4 linked regions of the Tamandua tetradactyla genome follow. The protein of the gene in region 2 purifies or fractionates together with the protein of the main gene of each other region. This does not show direct contact. Links are inferred from orthologs where the notes say so. Each region holds a gene or a part of one and is shown on either strand. Other genes may lie near its edges. The genes, in order: CCNL2, CSNK2A2, HADHA and PES1.

Region 1 (7,553 bases), on a different chromosome or scaffold from region 2:
ACAAAAGAAAATCAACTCACCATGACGTCTGGACCAGGTGTTGGTTACGCTCACACTCTAACACCTGAAGGTACATAACGATTATCTGGAAGATATGGGTCAGGCAGTTATTACCAAGAATCTGGAGAGCCAAGAATTCAGCTTTCTGGGCATCCATGCAGCAAACGAGAGCCTCAAGCTAGATTCCAGGAGTGGCTTCCCAGTCACACGCCCAGTGGATGGAGCTCGGCTGGAGAGTGAGCTTTTGCTGACGCACCTGCTACCTGCTTTGGCAGCTGGGCAGCAAGCATGCACACGAGAACAGAGCTGCACCCCGGCAGGGAAGGCCTCGTTTCATGGCCAGCATCTAGCAGATTCTCAGTCTTGTCTTCGACACCTTTTCCACCAGTGAGATTTGCCTGCCTAACATCTCTGTATCCCAATCACCAACTTACATAAAACACATGTGAAAGTCCTCCAGAAAGTGAAGAAAGCGCTTAAAGCTGCTTAAATTGGAGAGTTTACCAAGAATTTGAAATGACAAAAAATCAAACAAGTAAAAGAGAAGATATGAGGACACCCATCAATGAGAAGGGAATGAAATCAAAGATGCAAACAGCAATCTTTTTTAAAAGCAATTTTTTAAAAAGTATGACACAGCAGATATTCGTGGCACTGTAAATAAACTGAAATATACTAAAAGTATAGTAGTCGTGCTCCTTAATTAATACTTGCTGCAAAACTGGCTTAGTTCATTTCAAAATAAAAAGGCTTAGAATTCTTCCATTTCCTCTATAAGACAATGAAAGATTATTACTAATGGAACTTCAGAAGACAAACTGTGGAAAAAGAAAATGTTTTATAAATTTACCACTATGTCTCTGTCAACTCAAAACTAAAAGAAGCCAATTCCAGTACCCTTAAAAAATATTTAAAATTAAGAAGTAATATTTACAAAAAGATTACTGCGAAATTATAGACACAAACTGGAGAACCAAGTCCAGGATGCATTTCAATTCTCTTTAAAGGCTTGCTTAGCAGTGAAAATAAAATGAGCAGCAGCAGCCAGTGGCCAGGCCTGTGCCTATACTGACCTTGTGAGGATGCTTCACGTGGACGCAGAAGCCAAGCTCCTTCAGAACACGTCTTTCTGCTTTTATGATTTGGTTTTTTAAATTAACATAATCTTGATCCAATAGAAGAGGCACAGGTTTCCTAGAAAGACAAACAAAGCACATGACCTGCATAAGGGTCAAATAAAATGAAGTCTTTCAAATCCCATGATTACCTCCAAAGGCTGAGAACTGAGGACAGAAACGCTACGACACAGACATCACGAGGAGGCCGACTTTACTACCTTCAGGGACAGCATCACAAAGCCTTCCTAGACCCCTACACTGAGCTATGGTCCTCCCCTTTCCCTTATAGATAAATGGCGCTCTAGGGCACAGCAAAGTCCAACTGCACTGGAGCGGGCAGCAGCTAGAGATGCTGCTAAACATCCTAAAATCCAAAGGGCAGCCCTGCAGTGGAATAACTTGGTCCAAAACGTCATAGTATAGAGGCTCCAGAGCAGAGATATGTAGGAGACCAGAGACGAGAGGGTGATGAACTGATATGGGCAACCCAAACACCAGTACCAGGAAAACCACAGCCACAGGCCTCTGTCCTTGCCCACAGCAGCCCCTTCGTTCATTGAGCAATCCCTGTTGAGAAGCCCTGGGCATAACCCCCTGTCCTGGTGCTTGGGAATACATTAACGAATGACCCACAAGTTTAAAACCTCACACCAGGAGTTTTGTTACAGAAGCCCTAAGGCACTTCAAAAACCACAAATATAAGGAGACATTCACCACAGCTGTAACAAAAACACTCACTTCTTCTCTCTCAGATGCCGGAGCCGATGAAACACGTTGATGACATCCCTTATCCGTCTTGGGGCCTCTTCTATTTTGGAGGCCAGGTGAACACAGGCCATTGACACATGCTGAAATAAATGTACACACTGCAACATCCGGATGACTGTTCCCACCCTGATGGCTTCCAAAGACTTGGGAAGCGCGACGAAAGCAGTGCTGGGAGCCCACCATCGTGAACGTAATTAATACCACTCAACTGTGTACTTCAAAGCTACAAAAATGGAAAATTTTACATTGAGCCACAGAGCCAGAATAAAGGTTTAAAGAGATAAAAAGAGCAAAGGGGAGCCGCACAGAGGAAAAGGCTGCCCGGGAGAGCGGGGCTCTGAGCACAACAGGCTCCCCACACCTGGAACACACCGCAGGCCTGCTTCCGCCTCCGCACCCCTGGGGAAGGGGCCCCGGCGGGCGCAGGCCCTCACCTCCATGGAATGCTTCACGAAGGACTTGGTGTAGAAGAACCGCTGGAACAGCACCTGCCCGGTAGCCATGGCCACCTGGAGAAGTGAAAAGGGGTTTCTACCACTTCTAGCCGCACGTTCAGGAGCTTCGCAACATAAAGGAAATCGCCAGCTTTCGCGTGGCTCTGGATCCAGGAATTAACCCAAAGCCTCTGATACCCACGAAGGCTGGCGGCCCCCACCCTCCGCAGGCAGGCCCGAGGCGCGGCGTGAGTGGGCGCGGGGCCCGGGCGGGACGCCGGCGGAGGTGGGCCCGGGGCCGGGGAAGAGGCCGGCGGGATGGGCCGGCGCGAAGCCCGCGCGGCCGCCAACAAAAGGCCGGGCCGGCGGGGCGGTTACCTCCGCCCGCGGCCGCGCACTCACCTGCGGCAGGCGGAGCAGGATCCCGGCCGCCTGGATGAGCTCGCAGCCCACCACGCGGAGGTCGGTCTCCGTGTCGGTGTCGAGGCCGCTCGACATGGACGGCGTGAAGCGAAGCTTGTCGTCAGGCAGGAGGCAGTTCTCCAGGGTAATGAGCACCCCGGAGTACAGCCTGTCCCCGATCAGCACCCCCTGCGCCCCGGGGGCTGCGCCTCCCGTGCCTGGGGCGCCGGCCGCTGCCGCGGGAGCCGCGGGCCCCGGAACCCCGGCCGCGGCCGCCGCCATTTTGTGCCGCCGACTTCTCCTCGGCTCCTTCCCGGCAGGGCCGCTCCTCGCGACGCTCTACGACGGCGGCCATCCCGCCTCCCGCGCGCCATTGGCTGGGCCGGCGGAGGTCCTGTCGCGCCTCCCGCTGATTGGCCGCATGGCCTGCCCGTCAGCGCCGCGCCGGACGCCGGCGCCGGAATCGGCGCGCGCGGGGGTGGCTGGTTACCCAAGGTGCTGCGCGGCGCCGGGGCGCGGCCGCGAATGCTGCGTCGCCGACCCGGAAGCCGCGCGTCTCTCCGCGTGGCCGAGCCTTCCCGGCTGCGGCGCGCGATCCCACGGAGCCCCCGAAGCGCGTAGCTCCGGTCCCGGGGCGCGGGCTGCCTGCGGCGGAGGAGGCTGAGGGGTCGTGGTTTAAGGGGTACGTGCCGTGCACGTGGCAGCCGCGGTGGGCTCACGTTTCAGCCCTTCCGGACCCCGAGGTTCAGGCCGCAGGAGTTGCGCAGCGTCTGCAGCCCACAAGCCCTTGGCCTTCGGAGTTCAGTCCGCAGGCCCGAGACGAGGAGCTCGGTAAGGGGGAGCACTGCGTCCCGCGCCTCTGCCGAGCCCCTGGCCACGGGAGAAGGCAGGCATCAGACGGTTCCGGCGCGGGGCAGCAAGGCCAGGGGCTGAAGCGGTCAGCATGACTGACTTCGTGGGCCCCGGGCACCCCGTGGAGAGTTTGAACTTGAATAACAGTGGGGGCCTTCTCCACGGAAAGGGGGAAGAGAGAAATAAGACTAAGTGTCAATGGCTGAGAGATTCCAAACAGAGCCGAGAGGTTATCCTGGAGGTTATTCTTAAGCATTAAGTGATATCACCTTGTTATTCAAGATGCAATGGAGAGGCTGGAGGGAACTGCCTGAAAATGTAGAGCTGTGTTCCAGTAGCCATGTTTCTTGAAGATGATTGTATGATGATACAGCTTTTGCAATGCGACTATGTGATTGAAAAAAATAATAATAAAACCTAAAATTGTGGAATTGTAACCCATGTCAAACTCTGAAATACGTTCTATAACTAATTGTGGTGCTGTGATTTGAAATTTATAGCTTTTTAATGTTATTTTTCACAAAAAAAAGAAAAAAGGTCGATTGTGATGATAGAAAAATATTTGAGCCTTCTAGACTCCTATATTTTGGAGCAGCTAGAAGGAAAAATATGAGAGATTCGTATGGTAGCCCATGATAAACGCTGGGATCTGTCCTGTAACTACTTTTTGAAGAGTGCTTTGAAAACTATTGCTTTGTTTTTTTTGCTTGTGTATGTTATACTACACAGTAAAAAAATGTTAAAAAATAAAAACCCAAAAACAAAACAGTGGGGGACCACTGATGGGGCTTTATGCCTTTGAACCCCTCTTGACCTTACAGACCTCCCATTTACTCCTGAAAAGAGAGACTTGTGCCTAGAAGGCCCCGCCTAGTTCTCACCCTTGGGTTCAGTACTGCCAGCCTCCTTTGCAGTTTTTAAGGCACTCAGCATCAGGGCTGTTGGTCTCATTGTACAGGAGGAATAAATGCTGTCGTCATCAACCGTGACTGCACACGTTGCGGTTAAACATTCACCAGTAATGTTGTGAGCCCTGGCCTGGGGGTGGGGGTGGGGAGCCTGAGAGGGGGGGCAACCTGGGGTGGGGTGGTTGGAACTGGGTAGGGGGTGGGCTGAGAAGCCTGGGGGGAAGGTAGACTGTCGCACTTAAACTTGCCTTAGATATTGCCCTCAATTCAAACCGGCCCAAACCCAGAGGCCTCCATTGCTTCCCTCCTCTGAAGTGTCCAGATGGGGCCCTGACTTCTGGAGAGACTCGATCCAGCAACTCCCAATGCTGCTACCTAAGAAGCCAGTTCTCCTCGTCTTTCGTAGCCCCAACATCTCCTCTCCCTAGGTGGGCAGCACCAGGATCCTCCTGTGTGCAGGCAAACTGGCTACAGCAGCACCCTCTAGGAAAAGTTCCTGTTCTCTGGAAATCCCAGCAAACATGTTTCTGATTATCCTTGCCTAGTTGCTTGCCCATCCCCTGGGCAGTGATTGGCCAGAAAAGTGGGAAGAGTTAATGGCCTTAGCTAATCAGGGCCAGGCCCTAGAGCTAGGGACAGGGCCACAGTCCCCGGAACTGCACCAAAGGGAGAGCTGGGCCCTGTGGCTGGAGGAAGGGGTTGGGGTGGGTGCTGGGAGCAGCCTGTAGTGGTCTATGACACCCCCTTTCATTGAGGCGAGATACAGAGCAAAAGGCAGCCCCTTCACTACCATGCAGTGCGCGCATCATTGGACCCCACACAACGAGCTCTGATGCTCCCGTTGCCTGTTCAGTAGCCATCTGCTGATGACTGAGGAGTACTGTGACCTGTGTGCACAGCATGGCCCTGCTGTTCAGTGCAGCAGGACAACAGTGGAGGGGCCGCAGCCCCTGGCCCCCAAGTGCTCATGGTCCAAAGGCCATTGTTAAACAGGACAAAGACCAGAGGGTGCTAAGGAGGCCGGCGCAGTTGTTGAAGCCAGAGGTGATGCTGGAGAAAAGGACGACGATTTTGAGTGGGAATGAAGGAAAGTGGGCAATCAAGAGACAGGACTTGCTCGGGACCTGTGGGTTGGAGGGGGGCATTGAGCCTGAGGGGGAAGCCCACACTGACTCTAGGTGTCTGCTGGCAAAGAGGCAAGTGGAGCATGTGGGGTGGGGGGAGATGGGCGCTCGGCTTAGGAACCTCTGGAGCCGTGGGCAAGTATCCAGGACGCAGTGGGACAAGCATGTCTCGAGCTCAGGGGAGGGCTGCATTGGGAAGGATGTGGGAGCCACCAGCAGGCAGAGAGTGGCTAATGCCATGAGCCTTGTGGCAGTTAGATTTGGTTGTCAACTTGGCCAGGTGAAGGCACCTAGTTCTGTTGCTGTGGACATGAACCAATGGTACGTGAACCTCATGACTGTTTGACTTAATTGGCTGGTACTTAAATGAGCAAGCTCAACGTAGCACAGCCCAAGCAGCTCGGCATACCTCATCTCAGCACTCAGCCCAGGCCTTTGAGATGCAAAAAGAAATCACCCTGGGGAAAGTTGTTGGAACCCAGAGGCCTGGAGAAAAGGCCAGCAGAGATCACCCTGAGCCTTCCCACCCAAGAAAGAACCTCAGATGAAAGTTAGTTGCCTTTCCTCTGAAGAACTAACAAAATACATCCCCTTTTATTAAAAGCTAATCCATCTCTGGTGTGTTGCATTCCAGCAGCTAGCAAACTAGAACAAGCATGGAGAGCTTTCCTGAAGCAGGTGGAGGATTGAGCCCAGAAAACAGAAACACGACATGGAGACTGAGCAGGCGCAGCAAGAAGGAACCCTAAGCATGTTGCACGCCAGCCTGCAGGGAGAGCCAGAGTCCCACAGAGGGCGTAGGTTCTGGGCCCACAGATGCTCAGAAGTGAGAAAAGTTGAAAAAGTGGCTGTTGGTGGTGGTGAGCGCCACCAGAGGCGTAGCAGATCAGTGGACCCAGTGATCACAGGGGCAGAGTGGAACTGAGCAGCCGGCCTACGGAAGAAAGGAAAGCAGACTCAGGAGCGGAGTGGGGCAGGAGGGTCTCAAAGTCCAGAGAAGACAGGCGATGGGTGGAACCAGAGCCCCATGAGGACCGAGTCCAGCTTTGGGCCCCGAGGGAGCACCTGGCCCTGAAGGTGAGCAAGGACCCAGCTTCCATCTTGGCCAGGGGAGAGAGGTGTGGACCCCTCCTGAGGTGCACGTGCTGATCAGAGGTGGGCACGGTGGGCAGGCGGCAAGGCAGGAGGAAGGCACATGGCTGTCCCCATCAGCCCCGTGGGCTTGAGAACAGATTCCGGCCTGACTCTGGACTTAATGAATCTGAGTCCCTGGGGCATGGAACAGGATGCTGCATGCTAAATGGCCTCATCAGATGGGCCAAGGGTCAGTCACTGAGAAGCCCCTGCCTGGCGATGTGCGGCTGGGGTAAAGCCAGGACCAAGAGGGCCAGCTTGCCTGCTGTGGGGAGGGCTGGGCTAGGGACCAGTTGGAGGCTGCAGAGAACTGAGGCTGGCGTACAGCTAGGGAGCTGGGTCCCAGGGTTTCTGCTGGAGAGAGAGGTCAAGGCAAGGGGACTACAGAGGGAAAGAACGAACTTGGGGCACGGGGAGGAGGGAAGTCCGCGGTGAGAAACCTGGATAGGTTTACGGTGAGGCCGCACGTCAGAGTGGAGTCATCTGGGGGACAAGAGGGCCAAGACCCGCCACGAGGCAGGGGCGCGCATGGAATGGGGAAGCAGGTACTGAATGGGCTGTCCAGGCAGCCTTGAGGGGAGCCAGGATCAGAGTTGAGAGGCATAAGCCCCCAATTCACAGAAGAGCATCTAGGATTCCAAGAGAGGGGGTACCATCCCACCTGGTGGCCTCTTCTGTGCCAAAGCTGTGGCAACAAGCCTGCGGGCCCCCAGAGACGCACACAACCCGCACAGCTGAACACCACAGGCTTTATTTTAACAACCTATATTAGATGGTTCTGAGAATCTGTTAATAAAGGACCCGTTTTCAGGC
Region 2 (7,605 bases):
TGCCCATGTCACACACACACACACACAAAGCTACAAAAAGAAATAAGAAACAACACTCTAACTAAAGTATCAAAGGAGACTTCTAAGTCTTATTCCAGAACACTGTTCAACATTAAGACCCCACAAGACAATACACCAAAGTAAGACACCGGAAGAAATAGGAAACAGGCATTGCAATAAAGGTTCATTACTGAATAATAAGGGTTCATTATTTTAGCAAAATTATGAGATAAGTTTCTTTGTGCTTAGGTTTACCATTTGTTTAAAAAAACCCTAGAGTTTCCATATTGAGGACCCTAAACACATCCCAAGAATTTTTGGAGCAAAGGAAAACTATCAAGCAACTGACCCTATAAAGTCCTTTAGAATGACTAAAGAGTAATGTGATAATTTCCTAAATGAACATACTGATATTTATACATACACCTGACTGCTGTTTCCTCTCAAAAGTGCAAAGCAAAGAGATTGCACTTATTCTAAAATGTTACCACTGCACAAAAGTTTAGACGTTTTTCTGGAATTGCTTTAGAGTCAGCAGTTCATTTTTCAGAATGTATAGTAGTGGAATGTGGCTATTACTAATTTCAACTTGTGTCTTAACTACTTTCCTAGAAAGATGTGAAGCAGCTTAAATAAAAAACATTTGTGCGTATGTACATAAAGAAATAAATTGTATGGCTTCCCCAGGTGATCTGTCGTCTGAAGAGACATTCATTTAAACATTAGTGTTTGTTAAAAAAAAAGGACCATGTGATTTTAAAGATACAACTCAAATTTGGGGAAAAGCGGAGTCAATAACTTTAACATCAATTCCTCACTTCTTGTTCCCAATATGTCTGGCAGCACAAATAACTAGCTATCTGCTCTAGGTAGGAGCAACTTTGCTCCTTCAACGCTAGGTAGGAGGTCCTAAAAGACTGTGTCAATCATTTTTATGAAAGGCAATTTCCAGACAGCATAAGTACCCCACACATTAAAAAGGACTACCTACACAGCTGCCCTAATGCTACCCTTAAGAAACAAAAACAGCTTTTTAACTCCACATTTCTGTTCCACACAAATCTCTGCAAAATGGCCACATTGCCTATATGTAAAGTACTTCCTCAGTTTTCTGAATGGAAACAAAAACAGCTTTTTAACCCCATTTTTGTTCCACAAAATCTCTGCAAAATGGCCACACTGCATTTATGTAAAGTACTTCCTTAGTCTTCTGAATGTTTCTTTAAATGATATGCACACACTTTAAATGACCCGGCCAAAATGAGGCCCCATCACAGATTGAGTTACTCTTTAGTACAACCTCTAAAACATCATTTGCCTGAAGGAAAATTCAGTCAATTCTTCATGGTCATTAAGATCATGTCTTCATGCAAGTGATAACAAAACAGGCATATTATGAAACTTAGCCACTAAACCCCGATATCAACAGTGTCTTGTTCCAATTATTACTTTGGAGATTGGAAGCATACTCTTCTGCTCACTTTTACTAGTTGACAAGCAACAATGAACCTTTCCAAAACTACTAGCTGTTATTTCCACTTCAGCTGAAACTTTATCACCAAAGAAGGGACAAGTGGTTATCCACTGAGACATTTTCCTCCACTTGGGCTACAAATTCATCTTTGAAGGATAAATTTATCTTCTAACTTTCCTTCCGGAATAACTTAATGCACCAAGAGTAACAAAAACAATAGTCAAGCAACCTCTGGATTGTTAGAATCTTCACAAAGAGATATTTCTTTCCTCTGAAATATCAGTTATGTTGTAATACATAGAGTATGGGATTTTTTTGCTTTGAGAGCCCATAATTTAAATTTGGGAACAAGGACTTACTTTCCTGACCTAACATGCTTCTGATTTGAGGCAGGTCTCCATGTTTTCTTGGAAATTAGGAGGAAGGAGTAGTGGAGGGACATCAGACAGAAGGCAGTAAATAAAATGAGAGTTAGGACTGTAGCTCACATAGATTCCCATTTGGCCTGTGGAAAAAAAAGTTTAAATGCCACTCATAGGACACTCACCTTGAGGATTTTTACAACCACTCTCTCGTTGTTGGTGATGTTAATAGCCTCAAACACTTCACTATACTTTCCCCGACCAAGTTTTCGAACCAGTTGGTAATCATCCTGATTACTGTGAAAGGAAAGACAGACACATAAATGCTAAGATAGTGGATCAACCAAGTTCAGGCTCACTATACACTCCATGCAGATGCTTCCATTAATCAAACACTTGGAAGTGTCTATACATCACATCACAACTCATTCCCTAAATGAAGGCTACAACAAAAACTTGGCTCCCTTCACTCTGCAGAGCTCCTAACCTAATTGTTCCCTCATAACTTAAGGGAGATGATGTAGAGGGAGCGCAAAGCATCCATACTGGAGCGCCACAGGGTACTCCTCCACCGGTGGCTTCAAAGCACCTGCCTCATACTTCACACCCTGAACGCAGACAGTGCCTGCTTTGCTAATCTGGACGTCTTCAAAAAATTTCCTCCCACCCAGTCTCAGACAAACTAAAAGGCAAAGAATTTTAATAGCTCAAGAAGACAGCTGTTTACTTCCCACCCCAACAGAAAGCCAAAAGTGTGAGGAGGATGGGCTGCCCCCTCACTTCTATGAAGATCTGGCCCTCAGATCCTTTACGTCTTCCCAGGAAGAAAGGGAGATGAAGAAAGAGAGGGGTGCGCCAAGTGGGAAGAGGAGGCCAAGGACACGTGCGGAGGGGGAGGGGGGGTTCAGTCTCCCACCCCAGACACGAGAAAGCGCCGGCCCAGAAGAGGAGCAGGCGGGGAGACAGATCGCCCGGAGCCGAGTGTGGTTCACACTGGGGGGCGGCCGGGCGGGGCCCGAGGAGGGTGTGAGGGTCGGGTGGGGGGCGGCGGCTTTACCCCCAGCTCGGGACGTGCGACTCATAGTCCCAGTACTCGCGGCTCCTCAGGCTGTTCACCTCGGCGTAGACCCGGGCCCTGCTGCCCGCGGCCGGGCCGGGCATGGCGGGCGGGACCGGGGGGCGCCGCAGGGCGCAGAGGGTGGCGCGGCGGGGGGCGCCGGGTGGAGGGCGGAGCGGGCGGCCGGCCGCCGGGCGCCGGAGGAGGAGGAGGAGGAGTGCGGCGGCGGGCGGCCGCGCCAGGCCGGGCCCGCGGGGGCGGGCGGGTTGGGGGGCGCGGGGGGCTCCGGCCGGCCCGGCCCAGCCCCGGAGCTGCCGGCGAGGCGGAGGGACGGGCGGCGCTCGCGCTCCGCGGCGGCCTCAGCTCGGCTCGCGGCCCCGACTCGGCGGCAGCAGGGGCGGCGGCAGGGGCGGCAGCCGCGGCAGCCGCCGGCCGGGAAAGGGACAGCGGTGGCGGCGGCGGCGAAGAAGGAGGAGGAGGAGGAGGAGGAGGAGGAGGAAACCCGGAAAAGGGGCCGCGCTCAATAGGAGCGGCCACCGCCCGGCCCGGGGCCGCTCGGACTCACAGCGCCCCCTGCAGCGCGGGGGGACCCGCCGGGCGGCGCCAGCCCCGCCCCCGCCCCGCCCCCTGCCCAAATCTCCCCCTCCTCAGTCTGCCCTGACGCGGTCCTCACGAGGCTTCCCCCACTCACAGACTGTCTCTCTAACCTTTCCTCTCCAGTCCCGACCCTTTAAAAACTGTCTTGGAGGTTCCTACCCAAAGCTCTCCACCCTCTAGCCACCCAGAGTCCTCCGTCCTCAAGACCTCCCCTGCTGACCCAAACTACCCCCATCGAGTGCCCTGCTGATGACTCTCCTCAACTACTTAGAGCCTCCTCCGCCTCAAGATCCCTCTGCTCCTCCCAGAGGCCCCCCTTTTTTCCTCCAGACCTTGTCTGGTCACCCATAGAGGTCTCAACCCTAAGACCTCCTCACCCAGAGCCTCCTTTCAAGACCCTTCTCTTACACTTTCCCCCCAGATTCCCTTACCTGAAAGAGCACTTCCCTGAACAACTTCTGAATGTTCCCTTGGTCACTTGGTTATGTTGGTCCCTGTCAGGTTGTCTGTTTTCCCCATTAATAGATAATTTGTGGGGAGCTTGAACTCTGCAAATGCCCTTTTTATGTGTGTGAGGACGGAGAGCAGTAGAATTGTGTGGGGGTTCTGCCTGAAGGCTCAGTCCAGGGCGTGGGGTGGACTGAGGGTGGGGTGTTTTTTATTCTGTTGCCTCCTATCTCTAAACACTTCTCTCTCTGATCTTCTGGGCCTTTCTTCTGTTTTCCTTTCCCATCCTATATCCTGTATCAATGGAACGTCCTCATTCATCCCAGACTTTTCTGACTTTAATCCCTTTACACATTCTGTTTTCCAGATGAGACCCTGCTTCCTACTCCTTGTTATTATTAAGAGGACAGAATATCGAGTCAGATACAAGCAGGTTTGAATTCCTGCTCTACTGCTTATAAGCTGTGTGGCCTTGGCTTGGTTGCTTAACCTCTCTGTGCTGCAGAGTTTACAGCAAAAAATCAGTAATAGCACTTACTTTACAGGGAGAATTGAAAAGGTTAATTCATGTAAAACACTTAAACCAATGTCTGGGAGGTACTGAGTACTCAGTAAAGGTAATTACCCAATATTATTATTTCCAGTTCCAGAGCCTTTCTCCTATCACTTTTCCCTGAGACCACAACAGGCTTATCTTTCAGTTCTTTCCACCTTCTAAACATGGCCAGGAGCTACCCCCACCTTTCACTACTTCCTTCCCATGGCTGACTCTTGCTCTTCAAATCTCAGTTTAAAGGTCATTTTCTCTTGAGTTGACAATTCTCTGTCTCAGCACCCTATCCACATCCTTCCAGAAGTCTGCATGGTCTGTGATTATTTGCTTCCTAACTGTCTGTCTCCTCCACTGTAAAAGCAGCATCCAGCATCTTCCACAATTCGAGGCTTTCAGTGTATACAATGTTACCCCGTAGATTACTTATTAATTACAAAGGGGAACCTGGAGGTCATGACCTTAACTGTGGATCTAATTTAGCATCAAAAATGGGACCAACTGAACTCTTGATGTGATGCACCAAGATGGGACACGATATCCCCAACGCAGTACTCCTGCCCCAAAATGCTTAATCTGAATCTAATCAAAGGGCACAATCAAACATATCCAAACTGAGGGAGCATTCTGCTAGACAATTGGCCTAGATTTTTCAATAATATCAATGTCACGAGAAGAAACAAAACCCCTGGAGTGAACTTCTCAATTAAAAAAGACTGAGAGACATAACTAAGTTAAGTATATGACTTTGGTTTAAATACAGAATAAAATGGGAAAGAAGGAAGGGACGGAAAGAAGAATATAGTTAAAAGGACAGTAATGGGATTATTGGAGAAATTAGAATAAAGGATGTATATTAGATAATATTGTATCAATGTTAAATTTTGTGAATGCGATCATTGTATTTTGGTTATGCAGGAGAATCCCTTGATCTTGGGTATTACATGCTGTTGGAAATTCAGTAATGACCCCCCATAAAGACGTGTCAAGTTCTAACCCCAGTTACTGGTTGTAGACTCATTTGCGAATAGTCTCTGCAAAGATCCAATTGAGATGAGGTCAAATTGAGTTAGGGTACCCTTTGATCCATATGACTGAAGTTCTTTTTTTTTTTCTGTATGCTGTATGGTGGGGTTACAATTCATCTTTTTCCATGTGGCTATCCAATTATTGCAGCACTATTTGTTGAATTTATTTTTGGGGGGAAATGGGGGAAGTGCACAGGCTGGGAATCGAACCTGGTCTCCCTCATGGCAGGCAAGAATTCTACCACTGAACTACCCTTGCACCCCATGACTGGAATTCTTATAAACAGAGGAAATTCAGAAGTCAGGAGAAGCCAGAGGAGGAGAGAGAAAGGGATTGCCAGGTGATATGGGCAAACATGCATCTACAAACCAAGGAACACCAAGGCTTGCCTTCAAGCCAGCATTGGAATACCACTGACACAAGGAGAAAGCATGGTCTAGCAATACCTTGGTTTTTGACTTACAACCTCCACAATTGTGAGACAATACATCCCTGTTGTTTAAGCCAACCAATTTGTGGTATTTGTCATAGCTGCCTTGGCAAACAGAGACACATACCAAGTGTTCAGGGATAAAGTATAATATCTGCAACTTATTCTCAAATGGTTCTCCACAAAAAAGCGTGGGTTCCAGAGAGCAAGAGCACACATGGGGGTAAGGAATAATTGGGGGAGAATTGTTAACAATTGGCAAGTATAGACAGAGAGCACACGAGCTTACAACTTTTTGGTAGATTTGAAATTTTTCAAAATAAATAAGAGGGCAGGCCAAGGTGGCTCAGCAGGCAGTGTTCTAGCCTGCCATGCCAGAGACCCAGGTTCGATTCCCGGTGCCTGCCCATGCAAATAAATAAATAAGAGCGTGTATGAAATAAGTGGACTTTGGCATTTAATTCCCAAACATGGACACTTCCCTGAATCTTTTTTCCGTGAGAAGACACGAGCATTTTCAAGCTGTTCATGTAGCCATAGGATTTCTTTCTGACAAGTCTTTGTGAATTAGCCTGTACCAGAAGTTCTTAATCTGGATCCTTTGGATGAGCACCAAGGACCCCTGATGCTGCATGCAAAATTTGTGGGTCAGTGTGTGTGGGTGACGGTGTGTGTGCGCACATTTTTTCTTCAGCATCCATCAGCTTCTCAAAGGAGGCCATGATTATAAAGTGGTTCCAAATCACTGGTCTAACTACTATGTCCAACACTGGCAGGAACCCCATTTCTTGCCTCCACCCTCACCCACCTGTGACCCCTCCCACGTTCCCTGAACCTTCTCATCTTTTACCACCTAACCCACACCCATCTCACGTAACCTGCTCCCACACCTGCCAGGAAGCCTGAGGATTTGCCTACACACCTCTCTGGTGCAACACACTCCTGATTTGGCTGACACTTCCCTAATTCAGCCTGAAACCAGCAGTCAGTTCTCTGGTTTGCTGGCCAAACAGAATATGTTTTTATGGCTTGTTGTAAGTAGGCTGAGCACCCCACAGACCTGGCAGAGACCCACCATCTCTCCTTCCTGCCTGTCCACCATGCCGCTGGCTTGGGAAGAACTAAGTCGGACAACTGGAGATGGCACCAACGGCAACTCTCACTGAAGGAATGGAGTCTTACTTGAGTAGGGAGAGGGACAGGCTGCTGGCTCTGCAGGGGTGGGTGACAGGGCAGCGAGGATCAACAAGCCAGAAAGGACTTCCCCTAATTAATATGTGGATGCAGGTGTGAGGCTGAGTATAACTGAGGGTAGCACAAGAGGCAATGAAAGAGAACGTCTTTTTTTTTTTTTTTTTTAAAGGAAAGACAGAGAGAAGGAAGGAAGGAAGGAAGAAAGGGAAACATCTTTAAACATTTTCTTGTATTCTGTTTCTCCGTTTTTGTTACATGGGCTGGGGCCGGGAATCGAACCGAGGTCCTCCGGCATAGCAGGCAAGCACTTTGCCCGCTGAGCCACCGCGGCCCGCCCGAAAGAGAACGTCTTTTGTCAAAAAGCCCAACAATTTTATAACGATTCCTCCAAATTCCACCCAAACAGATAAAACAAATAGGTGAATTGAAGACAGCCCTAAGCTCTGGAACTCCAGCCACCTCAAT
Region 3 (7,840 bases), on a different chromosome or scaffold from region 2:
TTTGTGAGACACTTATAAATTTCACATTTACAGATTTCTCCTGCTGATTCTGTTTCTCTAGAGAATCTTAGCTAATATACAAATGTTCCTCTAAATCAATAGAGACAAAAATACAGAAACCAGTAGATATACAAACTTATTTGGAAAAGAATTTCAAACCAGAGTAAATGAAATCAACTCAGAGTTCAAAGTAGCTTTGCTTTTGGATCCCAAATCAGCAGAGCTCACCTTACAGCAATTCGTGAACTTCAGCCTACATCTACTGTTGCCAGCCAGTGAGAGTAACCTTTGATCTACTTTCTAATCATCTTTGTCATTTAGCTCAAGGAAATAACTACAACACATTATAAGACTAGAATCAGTGGAGACAGATGGATTATACTGGCACAAATTTCAAATTTGAAAATGTTACTTTGGTTGTAGTAACCTACAGATTTTTTCAAAATCCAACCCTGGGAAAAGGGTGGGATTAGGGAAGTGAGTCAAGTTTAAATATACAGCATGTGCTGAGGACTAAGTAAGGTATTTGCATCCAATTACATGACATTTCCTATTAAATTATTTCATAGCTCACATAATTGGGGATTTAGGTTGCGGAGAGGGGGAATTAGACAAGGTATTTTTTTCTAGATGTGACTCATCTGACAATCAAATTGAGAATTACAGTACTGGTAGAGGAGGAATGAGTTAAAACTTCAAGAACTACAAGTCTAGTTCATAAAATTTAATCATCTACTAGTAAATGCCATATCTCATTAAATGTCTGGCAATATCTTGGCACAGACTTTAAGGGGAAGAAATCAATCTACTGAGTCTAAATGGCAATTCAGGTGTGCAGGTAACTTTAAATTCACCTACTAAGCAATTTTCCAAAATTTATAAATTGCTATCAAAACGACAGTAACTATAATAAGCCACTTTCTAACTGGTGAAAACATGATACAAAAAAAATGTTTATATATGTGCATACCTTACCTCCATACCGAAAATATGGCACAACTAAAGTTGCAACTGTTTATTACACATTTTTAAATTGTAGAAGTTACTTTAAAAAAATCCCAGATATACAAAAATCATAGTTCTTCAGGGCTGTAAAGAGTTAACAATAGTTAACATTTACTGAGCACCTACTCCATGAAAAACTGATTAACATTTAAAAAACTCCTTTAGATTTCTAAACAACCTTGTAAGGAGGTATTTTTTAACCACATTTTTTACAGATGAGAAAAGAGATAAAGAAATTGCCCAAGGTCGTGAGAGAGTAAATGCCAGCTTTAAATTCAGAAGACAGAGGCCAAATTTCATGCTTTTCTCTGTCAAACTACTTCTCAAGTAAAAGAAAACCCACAGTCTCATCCATTCATTTTACAGATGAGGAAAATAGAGCCTGCTTAGATTATGAAATCTGTCCCAAATCACACAACTAATTAATGAAAGGGTCGTGATGCTAGAAACCAGGTTACCTGACTACCAGTTCAGTGTTACAACAGCTGTCAACCCATAAGAAGTACCTCAAAACCAATGCAGGTGTAAGCTCATACATACAATCTGATTTTTATAAAGTGTTAAAACATAAAAGTGGGAAACAGAAAAAAAATCTGTAAGGAAGGATGACAAAATGCTAACATGTGAGTAGCAAGTGAACAGGTAATTTATTTTTAACCCTGTTTCTGAGCTTTACACTTCAATTTCTGTAATAATGTAGTTATACTATGATTGGTACACACACATCAGTGAGAATGCTCCTGTGGAGACTAAAAACAACGGGAGAAATGAGAAAGCAGAAAAAGATTGAATCAGCCAAAATGAATCCCTCTTAAGTAAGGGGAAATTCAGCTACCAGCCTTAAAGACAAGCTAAGAAGGAAGTGGGAATATATATGATAATTTAACAATTTAAATAATTGGTATTAGGCACAGCATCTCACATCTCACGTGACAGGTTTGAGAAGGGAGAGAAATGCTTAGTTTCTCCCATCACCCACCTTAACCCTTCCACTGCCAATTTGAAGAGAAAAGATAACAGCAAATGCAGGCTGACAGGGAAGTGTCAGAAACAAGATCAGAAAAGGTACATAAAATTATCTAACGCTTTATTTTCTAAGTTACAGGACATCTGAGCATTAAATTAAAAAGTTGCTTCTTTTCCAGCAAGTTGCTGAACCTCCTGTTGAAATTCAACATACCATACATACGTTTACACTAGGATTGACAGAACTGGGCAAGAGCTGAGCTCCATCGAAAAGCGGTAATAAGTACTAAAGTGGTTTGACAACAAAGGAGAAGGGAGCGGCAGTAACCTGTCACGCCGGTTACGGGAAGGTGCTGTGAAGACGCCAAGATGTGAGAGACCGGGGATGCCCGTTCTTCTGGACCCGGATCCAGTAGGAAGGGCGTGAACCCCGAAGTGCGACGCGGGAGATCTGCGGAAAATTCCGGCACCGGGTGGGAAGGACTCAGAAAGTTAGGGGTTACGGAGCCTGGAAGCCCCACGGCGCTGGGTGTCGTGGGAGAGGAAGCCGCAATCCCTTCACAGGGACGCAGGGGCCCGGCGTCCACCCCAAGCACTGGAAGGCCCAGGCGGGGGCGGGGAGACGCCGGCTAGCCCGAGACGCGGTTCCGGGGCCGCCCCAGGCCGGGCAGGAGTTCTGCCCGGGCTGCAGAGCGCCCTCCGCCAGGCCTCACCTGGGGAGCGAAGAGTCCTAGAGGAAGTGAAGCGGCTGAGGCTGCCAATTGCCCGGGACGCCACCATCTTGCACGGAAAAGGACGAAAGTAGAAAGCGCTTCCAGCGGGGGCGGCTGAGCAGAGGACTTTTCCCCCAAGCAGCGTGGTCCCTGCCAGGCGTCCGCCGTACTGCCTGACTAAAACCCAGATGCCGAGGTGCCGTCCGCCCCGCGACCCTGCCCTTCGCTCCCGGTACATGAGGCGAAAAGGGCGTTCTCCTCGTCAGGGAAAGAGGCCGGTCGAGGAAGGGGCGAGGAGCCGCCGTTCCAGTCAGGCATCCGGCGGGCAGCCCGCGAAGCCCGTGGGCGGGGCGCGGAGGGGTCCTTTCAAACAGGCCCCGCCCCTTGGCCCCACAGACTCTAGACGCTTGGGTCCGAATTTTACCCGGAGTCGGGGCCGCAGTGGAGTCGGAGCGGGCGAGAGCAAAGGTGGGACTATGTTTGCGTTCGGGTTTCCGCCTGAGTTTCTTCCCGGGCGACAGCCGCACTTCCTTTCCTTTCGCCAGACCCGAGACCTGTGGCCGCCGGCCAGAAGGCTTCTCTCCCTGTGAGGCTAGTATTCCGGCGAGCGGAAGGAAGCGCCCCGACTGGGCGTGCTGTAGCCGGAGCGACTAGTACTGGGGCAGTAACTTGGGCTAGCCTTCTAATTGTACTGTGGGCAGTAGTGTCACCTGTGTCTTTTAGTTTATCACCGCAAGTTAGCCAACAGTTTGTCGGCATACAAACCTACTTTGGAGTGTTTACTATTCACCTGTAGCCAGGTCAGCGGCCTTAGAGCTCCTGAAGGGGACCACGGGTCTACCCCGTTTTCTGCTTCAAAGGGTGGAGCTCGGCCCTGTGTCCTTTCGGGACTCGAGTGTGGGAGGAGCTGAGACATTTCGCCCTCCTCCTCGGAGATGGATAATGCAGGGGAATTTTCAAATCTGTGAGAGACCTGGTATCATCGGTCATTCACCCCCTTCACTCGATCGGTAAGGAAACTGAAGCCCCCAAATCAGACTGAGTAATTTTATCCAAGGTCACAGGTGGTAGAAATAAGACTAGAACCTAGGTCTCCTAGTTTCCAGCCGAGACGCTGCTTGCTCCGGTGCTCCAGAGTCCTGTTAGAGATGAGACGATTCAAGCCAAAAGGAAATAATTTTGAGGGCCTGTTGTGCTTCAGTCACTTTCCTCCCATTCCATTTAATTCTTATGAACCTAGGCTTATTTGCATTTTTCTAGCTAAAGTTTGGGAGGTTCCGAGAAGAGTAGATAAATTTTTTTGATTTCAGATATAAATCTGAGACTCACTGCTTACCAGATTGATGTCTGGCAAGAGAGACAGCAAGAGGGGCCAGCGGGCGGGAAAAATGGCAGGGAAATTGAGGCTGAAACAAGTATAAAAAAAAAGAAGAGAGATTTCTGTTAAAACTCAAGTCAAATAGTGAGTCCCCCATCATTGTGTACTTTTTAAGTAGAAACTGGATATGACCAGTGATCACCTTGTAGGAAATTGTAAAAAGGATTTTAATGACCTCCAAAGGCCCTCCAACTTAAAAGATTTTTTTGCCACCCCTCATCTAAATAATAAGTGCTTCATGGAATGAGGTACTGAAGAGAGCATTGTGTGGGCAGGAGACAGGACTTGAACTGTAAAAAAATCTTTTTAAAATAGTTTAGGCTTTGGAGGCCTGCATAGGGCTCTGTCATGTTCTTTTTTGTTTTGTTTTACAGCCCTTTAAAAATATATAAAACTGTTCTAAGGTGGAAGCCCATGGACTGTAGTTTGGCAACCCTTGATTTAGATCACCCTTTTGCCTCTTGATTTTTTTATGCCTTGCACTCTCAGCAAAATCGTAAGCTCCATTGGGGCAAAAATGTCCTGTTTCTTTGATCCTTAATACTTAAGAAAGATGGCTTGTACAGAGCAGAAACTAAGTACATTTATAGCACTGTCACTACCTCCTAAAAGTAACAACAGACCCACATATAACTCTTACTATGTATCAGGCACTGTTCTAAATTAATCTTTGCAGTAGCCCTATGAGGTAAGAACTGCAATTAGTTGGGATCCTAAGGCAGAGAAAGGGTGGAGTCAGTATTTCAGTTAAGGCAATCTGGCTTCAGAGTCTGTGCTCTTAACCGTTACGTTGTGTCTTAATGCTTTTTGAAATTATGGCTCTAACAAGAGCCATCCCATCTTGTTTCAGAACTTGCCCAGCCCTTTCTTCCTTTCCTTGCTCCAGGTGCCCGCAACTTTAAGCGTTTTTCCATGCTTCCACACCCTACAAAGCCTACCTACCCTGGAGTTTCCATGCTTCAAAAATCCTCGAGTCAAAATTTTTCGCTGTTTAGATGTTTTAAATGTTTATATAATCAGATCTGTTATTTTTAGAAAGTTTTGATATCTATTAAAGCAAGGTGTCTTTTTTTCTTTTTCAAAATGTCCTTGATTATTTTCATGAGTTTTATTTCAAGATGACCTTTGCTTAAGAGAATTTGTATCCTAGATTCATGTAGAATCATCCGTATCTTCTAGAAACCATGGTATCTTATGGGCTTCTTTGTCTCCTTGGCTGGAGTTCCTGTATACCTATAGGCTGCTGAGCCTAGAATTTGGATTCGGCCACTGCTTTCCAATGTGAAACATGTGATTTTCTTCATTTTTCTTCTTTTTGGTGTGGTGGTGATTTATAAGGCAGTTTTAATGAGATATTTTCACATACCATACACTCCATCCAGTGTGCACAATTAGTGGCTTTTAGTATAATCACAGAGTTGTGCGTTCATTGCCACGATCCATTTTAGAACATTTTTATTACTCCAAAAAGAAAAACCTCAAACCCCTTAGCAGTCACCTTTCAAGCTCTCTGTCCTGTCCTGGCACTATGTAATCACTAATCTAATTCTGTCTCTATAGATTTATTTATACTTAATTTTATATAAATGGAATCATGCAATATGTAGTACTTTGTGTCTGATTTTTTCCACTTAGCATAATGTTTTTAAATTATTATTGTTTTTTAATTACAGAAGTTGTAGGTTTACGAGAAAGTCATATTAAAAAATACAGCGTTCTTCTATACTCCCCTATTGTTGAAACTTTGTATTAGTATGGTACCTTTGTTACAATAGATCAGAGGACATTAAAATATTACTGTTAACTATAGTCCATAGTTTACATTAGGTATACTTTCCCCATATATCATCTCTTATTAACACCTTGTAATATTGTTGTACATTTGTTATAATTCATGAAAGAACATTCTTAAATTCGTACTATTAACCACAATCCATCATGCACTACAGGTTCACTGTGTTATACAGTCCCATGTTTTATCTTCTAACTTTCCTTCTAGTAACATACGTGACTCAAAACTTCCCCTTTCAACCACATTCACAAACATAATTCAGTGCTGTTAATTAGACTCACAATAATATGTAACCATCACCACCATCCGTTTCCAAACCTTTACAATCAACCTAAGAAGAAAAGAAGAAATTTGGTTCAAATTAAGCATCAGTTTCCCCATTCTTTACTCTCTTCTGTCTTCTGGTAACCTATTTTCTAGATTCTAATTCTATGATTTTGCTTATTATAATTAGTTCATATCAGTGAGATCATATAATATTTATTGCTTTGTGTCTGCCTTATTTCGCTCAACATAATGTGTTCAAGGTTCATCCATGCTGTCATATGCATCATGACTTTCATTTTATGACTGAATGACGTTCCATCGTGTGTGTGTTTATATATATATATATATATATATATATATATATATATATATACATGCACATACCACATTTTGTTTATCCATTCACTGGTTGATAGATACTTGAGTTGTTTCCATCTTTTAGTGATTGTGAATGATGCTGCTGTAAACATTAGTGTGCAAATATCTGTTTGAGTTCAGTGTATTTTGGGGCACCATGATTAGGTACATAAATATTTATGATTGTTATTTCTTCTTGGTGGTTTGCCCCATTTATTAATATATAGGTTCCTTCTCTGTCTAACAGTTTTGCATTTAGAGTCTGTTTTGGCTAGTATGAGTATAGCTACCCCAGCTCTTCTTTGGTTACTGTTTGCATCACATTTCCTTTTCCGACCTTTCATTTTCACCCTATTTGTGTTTTTGGATCTAAGGTGACTCTCTTGTAGATAGCTTATGGATAGAGCATATATATATATATATATATATTTTATCCAATCTGCCACTCTGTGTGTTTTGACTGGGGAGTTTAACCCATTAATATTCAATGCTATTTCTGTAAAGGCCGTACTTACATCAGCCATTTTATCCTCTGGCTTTTATATGTTGTATCTTATTTTCAGTGCTCATGTATTTTGGAGCACTCTGGCTTGGTACATAAATATTGATGATTGTTATGTCTTCTTGTTGAATTCTTCCCTTTATTAATACATTTTGTCTCTATTAATACATTTTATTAATACATTTGTCTCTTTGTCTCTTTTAATTGTTTTATATTTGGAGTCTAATTTGTTGGATTGTTGTTTGCATGAAATATCTTTTCCTAACCTTTTACTTTCAACCTATGTTTATCCTTGTGTCTAAAATGTATCTCCTGTAGACAGCATATAGATGGGTCCTGTTTTTTAATCCATTTTGCCAGTCTCTTTTGATTGGGGAGTTTAATCCATTAACATTTAGTGTTATTACAGTAAGGGAGGTACTTTCTTCTACCATTTTGTCTTTTGGATTTTATATGTCATATCTAATTTTTCTTGTTTTTATCTTTACTGATAGTCTTCATTTCTATACTCTTTTCCACACCTCTCTCCTGTCTTTTCCTGTCTGTCTCTAGTGCTCTTTTTAGTATTTCTTGCAGAGCTGGTGTCTTGGTCACAAATTCAGTGATATTTTTGTCTGAAAATGTTTTAATTTCCCCTCATTTTTGCTGGATATAGAATTCTTGTTTGGCAGTTTTTCTCTTTTAATATCTTAAATATATCATCCCACTGTCTTCTTGCCTCCATTGTTTCTACTGAGAAATCTATGCATAGTCTTATTGGGCTTCCCTTATATGTGATAGATTGCTTTTCTCTTGCTGCTTTCAAAGTTCTTTCTCTTTGAAATCTGACATTCTGATTAGTAAGTGTCTTGGAGTATGTC
Region 4 (7,847 bases), on a different chromosome or scaffold from region 2:
GAGAAGGAACACCCAAATTCCAAAGAGGGTTTGGGCAGCTCAGGGAAAACAAAGCTGTGGTGTAGTACAATGAGGACTGAGTTACTGTGCAATTCATGGTCTAGGCTCCCCGAGGCATGCTCTCTCACTTCTCTCCAATCTCACCTGAAGTCAGCCAGGCTCAGTTGCAGCTTCTTCCGGGCTTTGTTTCGGGTGATGTAGTTGGTGGCAGAGCCCCGTTCATACTTTGGGAAAGATAAAAACAAGTCAATGACTGCAGTGACAGCCACCAAACTCTGGTGTGCTTTGTTTCAGAGGTAAGTGGCCAAGGTGCTTTGTGGACAGGAAATGCCATAGGGAAGGAGGCTCCTGCCGGAAGGGGCTTCCCAGCACTGTTCTTACAGATGTCCCTGGAGAGGATACACAGGTCTGCAAAGTAGGATGCCAGGGATCATGAGGTTGCTATGTAGTGCACTGTGCCAAGCACACAGTACTAGCTCTAAGTACTGGTTGTTACTGGTATTATTTCATTTAATCCCCATAACCCTGTGAGGTAGGTACCGTTATAACCCCCCACACCAGACGAGAGTAACAGGCTCAACAAGGTTAAAAACCCCACCCAGGTCACCCAACACTTTAAGTGCTGGAGCTGGGATTCAAACCCAGGTCTGACTCCAGAGCTGGGTACCTAACTGCAAAGCCAGTGTTTCTCAAACTTTTTACTATTGTCACCATTCCCCTCTGCCACACACGCACACAGACACACAGCCTTTTCAGACACTTTTCTTCCTAATCATCCCTCGCAGACCCATGAAATTTTAATATCACAGATATACTTTATATGTGTTAGGTAACGTGGTCCTTTGGAGGACTACAACCCATTGTAATATTTAAGATTTTTTTTTTTTCTGCTCTACCTGCCTACCCAAGACCAATTTTTACTCCCTTGGGGAAAAAAATAGATGCTTTAAGAAATCTGGACTCACCTTCTCCCCAGTCAATCATTCAACAGACAATAAGGGGATTTTTACTATATTCAAAGTATTAAAGCAGGTGCTATGAGGATAATAAAGACAAAAGTCCAAGACTCTACCTGTTCCAAGGAGTGTACTGTTTTGGGCAACCATGTGGATGTCTGTAGCACCACAATGCTGCCTCACATTCACATCTGTGCCCCTGATAAACAGGGCTTTGTACCAAGCACCCTCCAATGCTGACCAAGAATGTCCTTTCCAAACATGATCTTCTGCCCGAATAAGACAGGAGCGGCCTCTAAGGCCAGGCCCAGTTTTAAGGAGGAGTCCTGCAGCCCCAGAGAAGTACGTTTATGTAAAACACCAGTTATGAAACATATCCCCCACTCATGCTTTCCTTCAGACATTTATTAGTTTTGTTTATTGAGGATCGGGGCCTGTGCTAGGTCCTGGGGAATACAAAGATGGGTTTCAGACTATCTCACGAAGTTGAGTCTTCATTAAAAGTATCTCCCATTACTCTATGCCACATATACTCCTGTGACCACACACTTATACTTGTAAACATTAAAGGGATAAATGGATCGTTCTTGCTGGGGGCTGTGTGTGTGTGTGGTGCGGGAATACAGCAACGTGTGGAGATATTTTTGTTGGGTGCTACTGGCATCTAATGGGTAGAGGTCCGGGATGCTGCTAAACACCCCACAATGCACAGGACAACTCTCCTCCCTCTGTCTCCCCCCGCCAAAAAAAAAAAAAGATTAATCTGGCCCAAGCTATCAAAATGGTTGAGAAACCCATTTTCAAAGGCAGGGTTGTTCATCTTATATCTCTGTAGCTCCAATGGGTAACCCTTAGTGGGTATTCAATAGATGTGTTAGATTAAAAACAAAATGGCACTGAAAACATTGCACCTGAAGGAAACATGTTAGCCAACTGCATCTTCACACACACCGGCACTGCCCACCCTAGGCTCTTTATACCACTGACGTGGGGTCTCCATAGAGTAGCAGGAACAATTCCTTAAAAAACTGAAAATGTGTTTCCTTCAGTTGTCTCCTATTGTTCTTAGGATAAAATCCAAGCTCCTCACTGTGGTTTACAAGGCATTGCATGATTTGATCACTGCCCAATCCCAACTTCACCAGAGGTTTATTATATTCCAGCCATCCTAACGTTCTTTCAATTCCTTTCACACAGCAAACTTTTCCCACCCGAGGGTCTTGGCATTTCAGTTTCCTTTACCAGGCTTACTCACTAAGCACTCCCATGCTCCAAAACCCATCCAAGACTCGATCTTCTAATCTTTCAGATTTCAGTTTTAATGGTGCAGCCTCAGTGACACCTTCCAAGACAACACTAACTAATATGAGTGTTCTTTTGTATTCCTTGGTGATAGTTTTTGCTATTTACTTTTGTAAAGTGAACTCCGGGTAGGCAAGGGCCACATCTGTTTATTTCTCTATGACCAGTACCTAGGACAGAGTGTCTGGCTCAATGGAAAAAGGATACCAAGTAAGAGAAGATAATCGTGTAACATTTATCATTTTTCCAGCAAACAGGGTGTTCCCCTCGGTCCTGCTTGCTTCTGGTGAAGCTTTGCTTGATAACCTCAACTCTTTCACAACCCCACTCCAGCGATTTTTTTTTCTTTCTATTATTGTTTTAATTCTTATTCTGTTGTCTTTTTATTTCTTTTTCTAAATCGATGCAAATGTACTAAGAATTGATGAATATGCAACTATGTGATGTTATTAAGAATTACTGATTGTACACTCCAGCGTTTTTTCCTGGATTTCACCGGACGCGCACTGCCGTCCTCGCCCTTCCTCGCATGCGGTTCACAGCTGCCCCTAGTCGCGTCCCTTAGTTCCGCCGCCCCTATATACCATTCTCCCGGGGACCCACAGCATCTCTTCCACTCACTTTTTTCTTCTCCAGGCCTCCCATCGCTTCACGCTGAAAGGCCTACCGGCGGAACAAACCGAGACAGCGCCACTTCCTCCACACGTGTCTAGTCTAGAGTCCTTAGGAGCCCCACCTGGGCTGTCCAAGGAGGAGCCTGCGCGAATCCAGAAAACAATGGGCCTTTTCTCGTGGCTATTTAAAGTTAACCCCTTTGAAAAATAACTATAACCCCTATTCCGACTTCTTTTCCAGGTACAGGGTTATTACAGACAATTTATAAGTTTAAACTGATGCAAATCTTCAGGCATTGCTATAATCACCCTGACGAAGATCGCTTGACGTTTGGGCCCCGTGGCATGTTGGGATGCAGTGGGGCGGAAGGCTTAGAGGCAGCGCAGTGCCTTCTGGGATACAGAGGTGAGGTCTGCGGCTCTTGAGGCTGGGCTGCGTTGTCCCGGTAACGGTTGTGTTTAGGTGATGTCGGAACGTCGCAGGCTCTACCGAGAAGATGCTTTCTAGCTTCGCGAGGTGAGGCTGCGCTCCAAACGTCCGTGGCCTTCGGCACCTCTTTTTGTTCATCGGCACTTCTTTTTGTTCAGCCGCACTTCTTTTTGTTCATCCGCTCTTAGGGATAAAATAGAGCAGAAGCAAACATTTTCTTTGATAGAGATAGAGGGCCGAGGGTTCGCTAGCATTTTCTGCGATCTAGCAGCGGTCGAAGAGTAGCTAAAGGCCGAGCAGAGTTACAGAACTCGTGGTATATTTTAAATGTACAGTTAGCACTTTTCGAGCTTTAATATGCACAGCTATAAATTTCGTACTGTGCCCCTTAAAGGAAAAATGCAAGATTCATACAAATATTCACTGTACCTTATAGTGATGTGGTATGGGAAGCAGATACAATTTTAAAGATGTTTGGTGTTTTCCTCCTTCAGCCTTCCAAATCCCGTTTGGAACTGGCCTCAAAAATCTAAATTTGAGGACTTTGTGACTGTGGCTTTCATCACGATCTTGGCCACAGGCTTATCAAGAGAAGGAGGCAGACGTTAATTGCTGATGCTTGATTATTATGAACGATGTGAATTTTATTATCTACTTTAAAGCACAAATAAAATTAAAGTTCAGCAAATCCACAAACAACGCAAAATGAAACAAAGGATGAAATGAAATGTATTGAAGGGATAGGGGAGGCAAGCTAGCAAAGAAAACTTTCTTTGCCCGAGAGTTTAAGAAAAACTATAGACCTGTGGTGGTCACTGTAAGGCAGAAGAGAGTGTTTCAATCAAGATCTGAGGCTGGCAAAGAGGACGTGGAAAGGGAGCACCTGGGTCAGAGACAAAACTTTGGAGAATTCAGAGAACCCTGAGAGATCCATTCTGAGTGGAGCATGGAGGGCAAGATGGGGCAAGGAAAGATGATCAGAAGAGGATAGAAGTGGGAAACTCATGAAAGGAACTCAAGAGCAGAACCGGTTTCGTGGATGTGCTACCTGTGCAATTCTACAGGGCCCCTCACTTAAAAGGGCCGTCACTTGGTTTAAAGCTCTGCTGTTGCTGAAATTCTGAACATTTTTTTTTTAACAAGGGGCCTTCCATTTGCATCTTGCACTGACTCTCGCGAATCATGTAGCTTGTCCTGCACAGAAGGACCACGTTTCCAGAAGAAAGATGAACCCTGTGTTGCTCACATTGATTTTGAGTGGTCAGTGGAAGACAAAAGTAGAGCTTTCCAGGAAAGCAGTTGTATATCCAGATCTGGAGCTCAAAGTAGAGGTCATGTAGTACTTCTGATAGCTTCATTTTAACCAGGTGAGGAAACTGAGGCTCAGGAAATGAAGAAACTTGCCCAAGGTCGCTCAGCTACTTAAAATATCAAAAAAAAAAATTTTATTGATAAAACAACATACACGCACATACATTCATACCATACAAACGTTCCATACGTGGTGTACAATCAGTGGTTCACAGTAACATCGCATAGTTGTATATTCATCACCATGATCATTTAGATCATGTGCATCACTCCAGAAAAAGAAAAAGGAAAAACTCATACATATCATACCCCTTATCCCTCCCTCTCATTGACCACTGTTATTTCTATCTTTCCAGTATACATATTTTTTAATGTTAACATTTGTTCGCCCTTTTATTTATCTGTTTTTAATTCATGCTTTACTCATCTATTCATACTGTAAATAAAAGGAGCATCAGACACAAGGTTTTCACAATCACCCAGTCACATTGTGAAAGCTATATCATTACACAATCATCTTCAAGAAACTTGGTTACTGGAACACAGCTCTGTTGTTTCAGGCACTTCCCTCTAGCCGAATACACCTTAACCTAAACGGGATATCTATATAATGCATTAAGAATTACCTTCAGGGTAGCTTCTCGACTCTGAAATCTCTCAGCCACTGACACTTTATTTTGTCTCATTTCTCTATTCCCCCTTTTGGTCAAGAAGGCTTTCTTAATCCTTTGATGCTGAGTCCCGCCTAATTCTAGGATTTCTGTCCCACCTTGCCAGGAAGATTTACACCCCTGGAAGTCATATCCCACATAGAGAGGGCTAGGGCAGTGAGTTTGCTTGTCGTGTTGGCTGAGAGATATAGGCCACATCTGAGCAACAAAAGAGGGATAAGTTTCATATGAACAAACCCCAAGATTGAAGGCTCGGCCTATTAATTTGGTCGTCCACACTGCTTACGAGAATATCAGGAGTTGGAGAACAGATTTTCATCGGGCTGGTTGCAGAGCCTGCTATTGAACTCAAACGCTATTGCCTAATGAGTTGTGGAGAGTCCTAGAAAGACAGCACATAGGTCTCTCCTCTCTGTCTTGATTTCCCAACAGAGTGCTTTTTGTGTACCAGGATTTCTTCACTGATTTGGTTAAGAGCCCAATCTCTGCAAACAGACACACCTGGCTTTATCTTCAAGCCTGGACAAGCTACTTTACCTCTCTGTCTTTATTTATCAAATGGAGATAACGTCATAGAGTAGTTGTTGCTTTAAATATTAAATATTTCTAAGTTGTTTTATTTAAAAAAAAGATAATAGTGGTACAGTCAGTTTGCAAGACAGTTTGGCAGTTTCTGACAAAGCTAAACATGATCTGATCTTATGATTCAACAGTCAAATTCTAGGTATTTACCCAACTGATGTGAATATTAATATTCATACAAAAACCTGCATATAAATGTTTATGGCATAATTACCCAAAACTATAAGCCACCAAGATGTCTTTCAGGAGATTAATGTATACGTCCATACAATAGAATATTATTCAGCAGAAAAAGAAACGAGCTATCAAGCCATAAAGTGCCATAGATGAATCTTAGATGCATATTGCTTAATGAGCCAATCTGACAAAGCTCCGTTATGTATGATTTCAATTATATGACATGCGGGAAAGGCAAGACAATAAATACAAAGAAAATATCAGGGGTTCGACTGTGGAGGAGGATTAAAAGGTAAAGCACGGGATTTTTTTTTAGGGTGGTGAAACTATTGTGTATTAGACTAATTTTGGATACATAATGTGTATTTATCAAAACTCCTAGAACTAAGGGTGCATGGGTAGTTCAGTGGTTAGAATGCCCATGTTTTGTGCGGGAGACCCGGGTTCGATTCCTGGACCATGCACAGCCCCCCCCCCCCAAAACGAGAACTTTACACCACAAAAAGTGAAACAATGTATGCAAGTATTTTAAAAATTTAGGAAGTTGGTGGGAATCCCAGAATGAAATGCAAAATGTGACAAAACAATCTATTACAAATGTATGTAACAACCATCAAAAGGGAGAGGGGATGTACTGACATAAGTAAATTTGGAAATGAGTCTGTAGGACTAAAGGCAAAAGAAATCATGCATAGCTCTGCACTCAAGTTTAAAAGTTGTTTTCCACCAGGGTAAGGGCTAACAATTCTGATAAAGCTATGCAGGTATACTGGAACTGACCAATAAGTAAATGACTGGTAGAAGGTGGAGGCAGGTTTCTCACTGTTGGAGTGGAAATTTACAGATAAGCAATGGAGGCATCTAGAATGCTAGATATGGAAATGGGTTAGGCTTGGAGACATCAGTATTAACTCATGTTCAAATTGATATAGATTCAGATGATTTCATAAAGAAATACATGTAGAACTACACACATGAAATTGTATACACACATTCATCTGGAAAGCTCCACTTTTGTCTTCTATTGTATATGTGTGCGTACTATTCCATATATATATATATCTATATATCCTTGCCGTATGTGCTGGTTTGAAAGGATTTATGTACCCTAGAAAAGCCATGTTTTAATCCCAATCAATCTTGTGGGAGCAACAGTTTCTTCTAATCCCTATTCAGTACTATAGGTTGGAAACTTGGTTAGGTTACCTCCATGGAGATGCGATCAATCAGTTGTGGGTATTAAATTTGATTAGATGGAGATGTTGTAATCTAATCAGTCAATTGTAGTTATTAAACTTGATTAGATGGATACCCCATTCTACCTGGATTTTGATTAGTTTACTGGAATCCTATAAAAGAAGAGACATTTTGGTGAGAGAGTTCCTTTTGGAGAATGAGAAGAGAGCTGCAGAATCACAACAGAAGTATGAGAGAACCAGGGTCCACTGGCTAAGTGACCTTTGGAGATGAAGAAAGAAAACGCCTCCTGGGGAGCTTCATGAAGCAGGAGGCCTAAAGAGAAAGCTAGCAGATGCTGCCATGTTTGCCGTGTGCCCTTCCAGCTGAGAGAGAAACACTGAACATCATCAGCCTTCTTGAACCAGGGTGTCTTTCCCTGGATGCCTTAGATTGGGCATTTCTATAGACTTGTTTTTAATTTGGACAGTTTCACAGCCTTAGAACTGTAAACTAGCAACTTATTAGATTCTCCCTTTTTAAAAGCCATTCCATTTCTGGTATATTGCATTCCAGCAGCTGACAAACTAGAACACAGCGTGAACTGAGATGTCCTAGATGCAACAAT

Evidence for each region.
Region 1: the proteins of CSNK2A2 (region 2) and CCNL2 purify together in Homo sapiens (affinity purification with mass spectrometry; 3 studies listed by BioGRID and IntAct, with this or other methods). This does not show direct contact. The link is inferred for Tamandua tetradactyla from reciprocal best matches to the Homo sapiens genes CSNK2A2 and CCNL2.
Region 3: the proteins of CSNK2A2 (region 2) and HADHA purify together in Homo sapiens (affinity purification with mass spectrometry; 3 studies listed by BioGRID and IntAct, with this or other methods). This does not show direct contact. The link is inferred for Tamandua tetradactyla from reciprocal best matches to the Homo sapiens genes CSNK2A2 and HADHA.
Region 4: the proteins of CSNK2A2 (region 2) and PES1 purify together in Homo sapiens (affinity purification with mass spectrometry; 3 studies listed by BioGRID and IntAct, with this or other methods). This does not show direct contact. The link is inferred for Tamandua tetradactyla from reciprocal best matches to the Homo sapiens genes CSNK2A2 and PES1.

The regions. Positions count from the first base shown.
Region 1 is NC_135328.1:223,487,541-223,495,093, reverse strand, and holds the start of CCNL2 (cyclin-L2), read right to left. Parts: upstream 3,005-7,553; coding exon 2,723-3,004; intron 2,396-2,722; coding exon 2,321-2,395; intron 1,967-2,320; coding exon 1,857-1,966; intron 1,195-1,856; coding exon 1,074-1,194; intron 86-1,073; coding exon 21-85; intron 1-20. UniProt on the Homo sapiens protein: Involved in pre-mRNA splicing. May induce cell death, possibly by acting on the transcription and RNA processing of apoptosis-related factors.
Region 2 is NC_135342.1:51,831,863-51,839,467, forward strand, and holds the start of CSNK2A2 (casein kinase II subunit alpha'), read right to left. Parts: upstream 3,014-7,605; 5' UTR 2,998-3,013; coding exon 2,894-2,997; intron 2,134-2,893; coding exon 2,022-2,133; intron 1-2,021.
Region 3 is NC_135329.1:9,962,499-9,970,338, forward strand, and holds the start of HADHA (trifunctional enzyme subunit alpha, mitochondrial), read right to left. Parts: upstream 2,923-7,840; coding exon 2,685-2,922; intron 1-2,684. Other genes in the region: HADHB (trifunctional enzyme subunit beta, mitochondrial), read left to right, coding at 2,873-3,152. UniProt on the Homo sapiens protein: Mitochondrial trifunctional enzyme catalyzes the last three of the four reactions of the mitochondrial beta-oxidation pathway.
Region 4 is NC_135331.1:32,350,362-32,358,208, reverse strand, and holds the start of PES1 (pescadillo homolog), read right to left. Parts: upstream 3,013-7,847; 5' UTR 2,904-3,012; coding exon 2,880-2,903; intron 225-2,879; coding exon 145-224; intron 1-144. UniProt on the Homo sapiens protein: Component of the PeBoW complex, which is required for maturation of 28S and 5.8S ribosomal RNAs and formation of the 60S ribosome.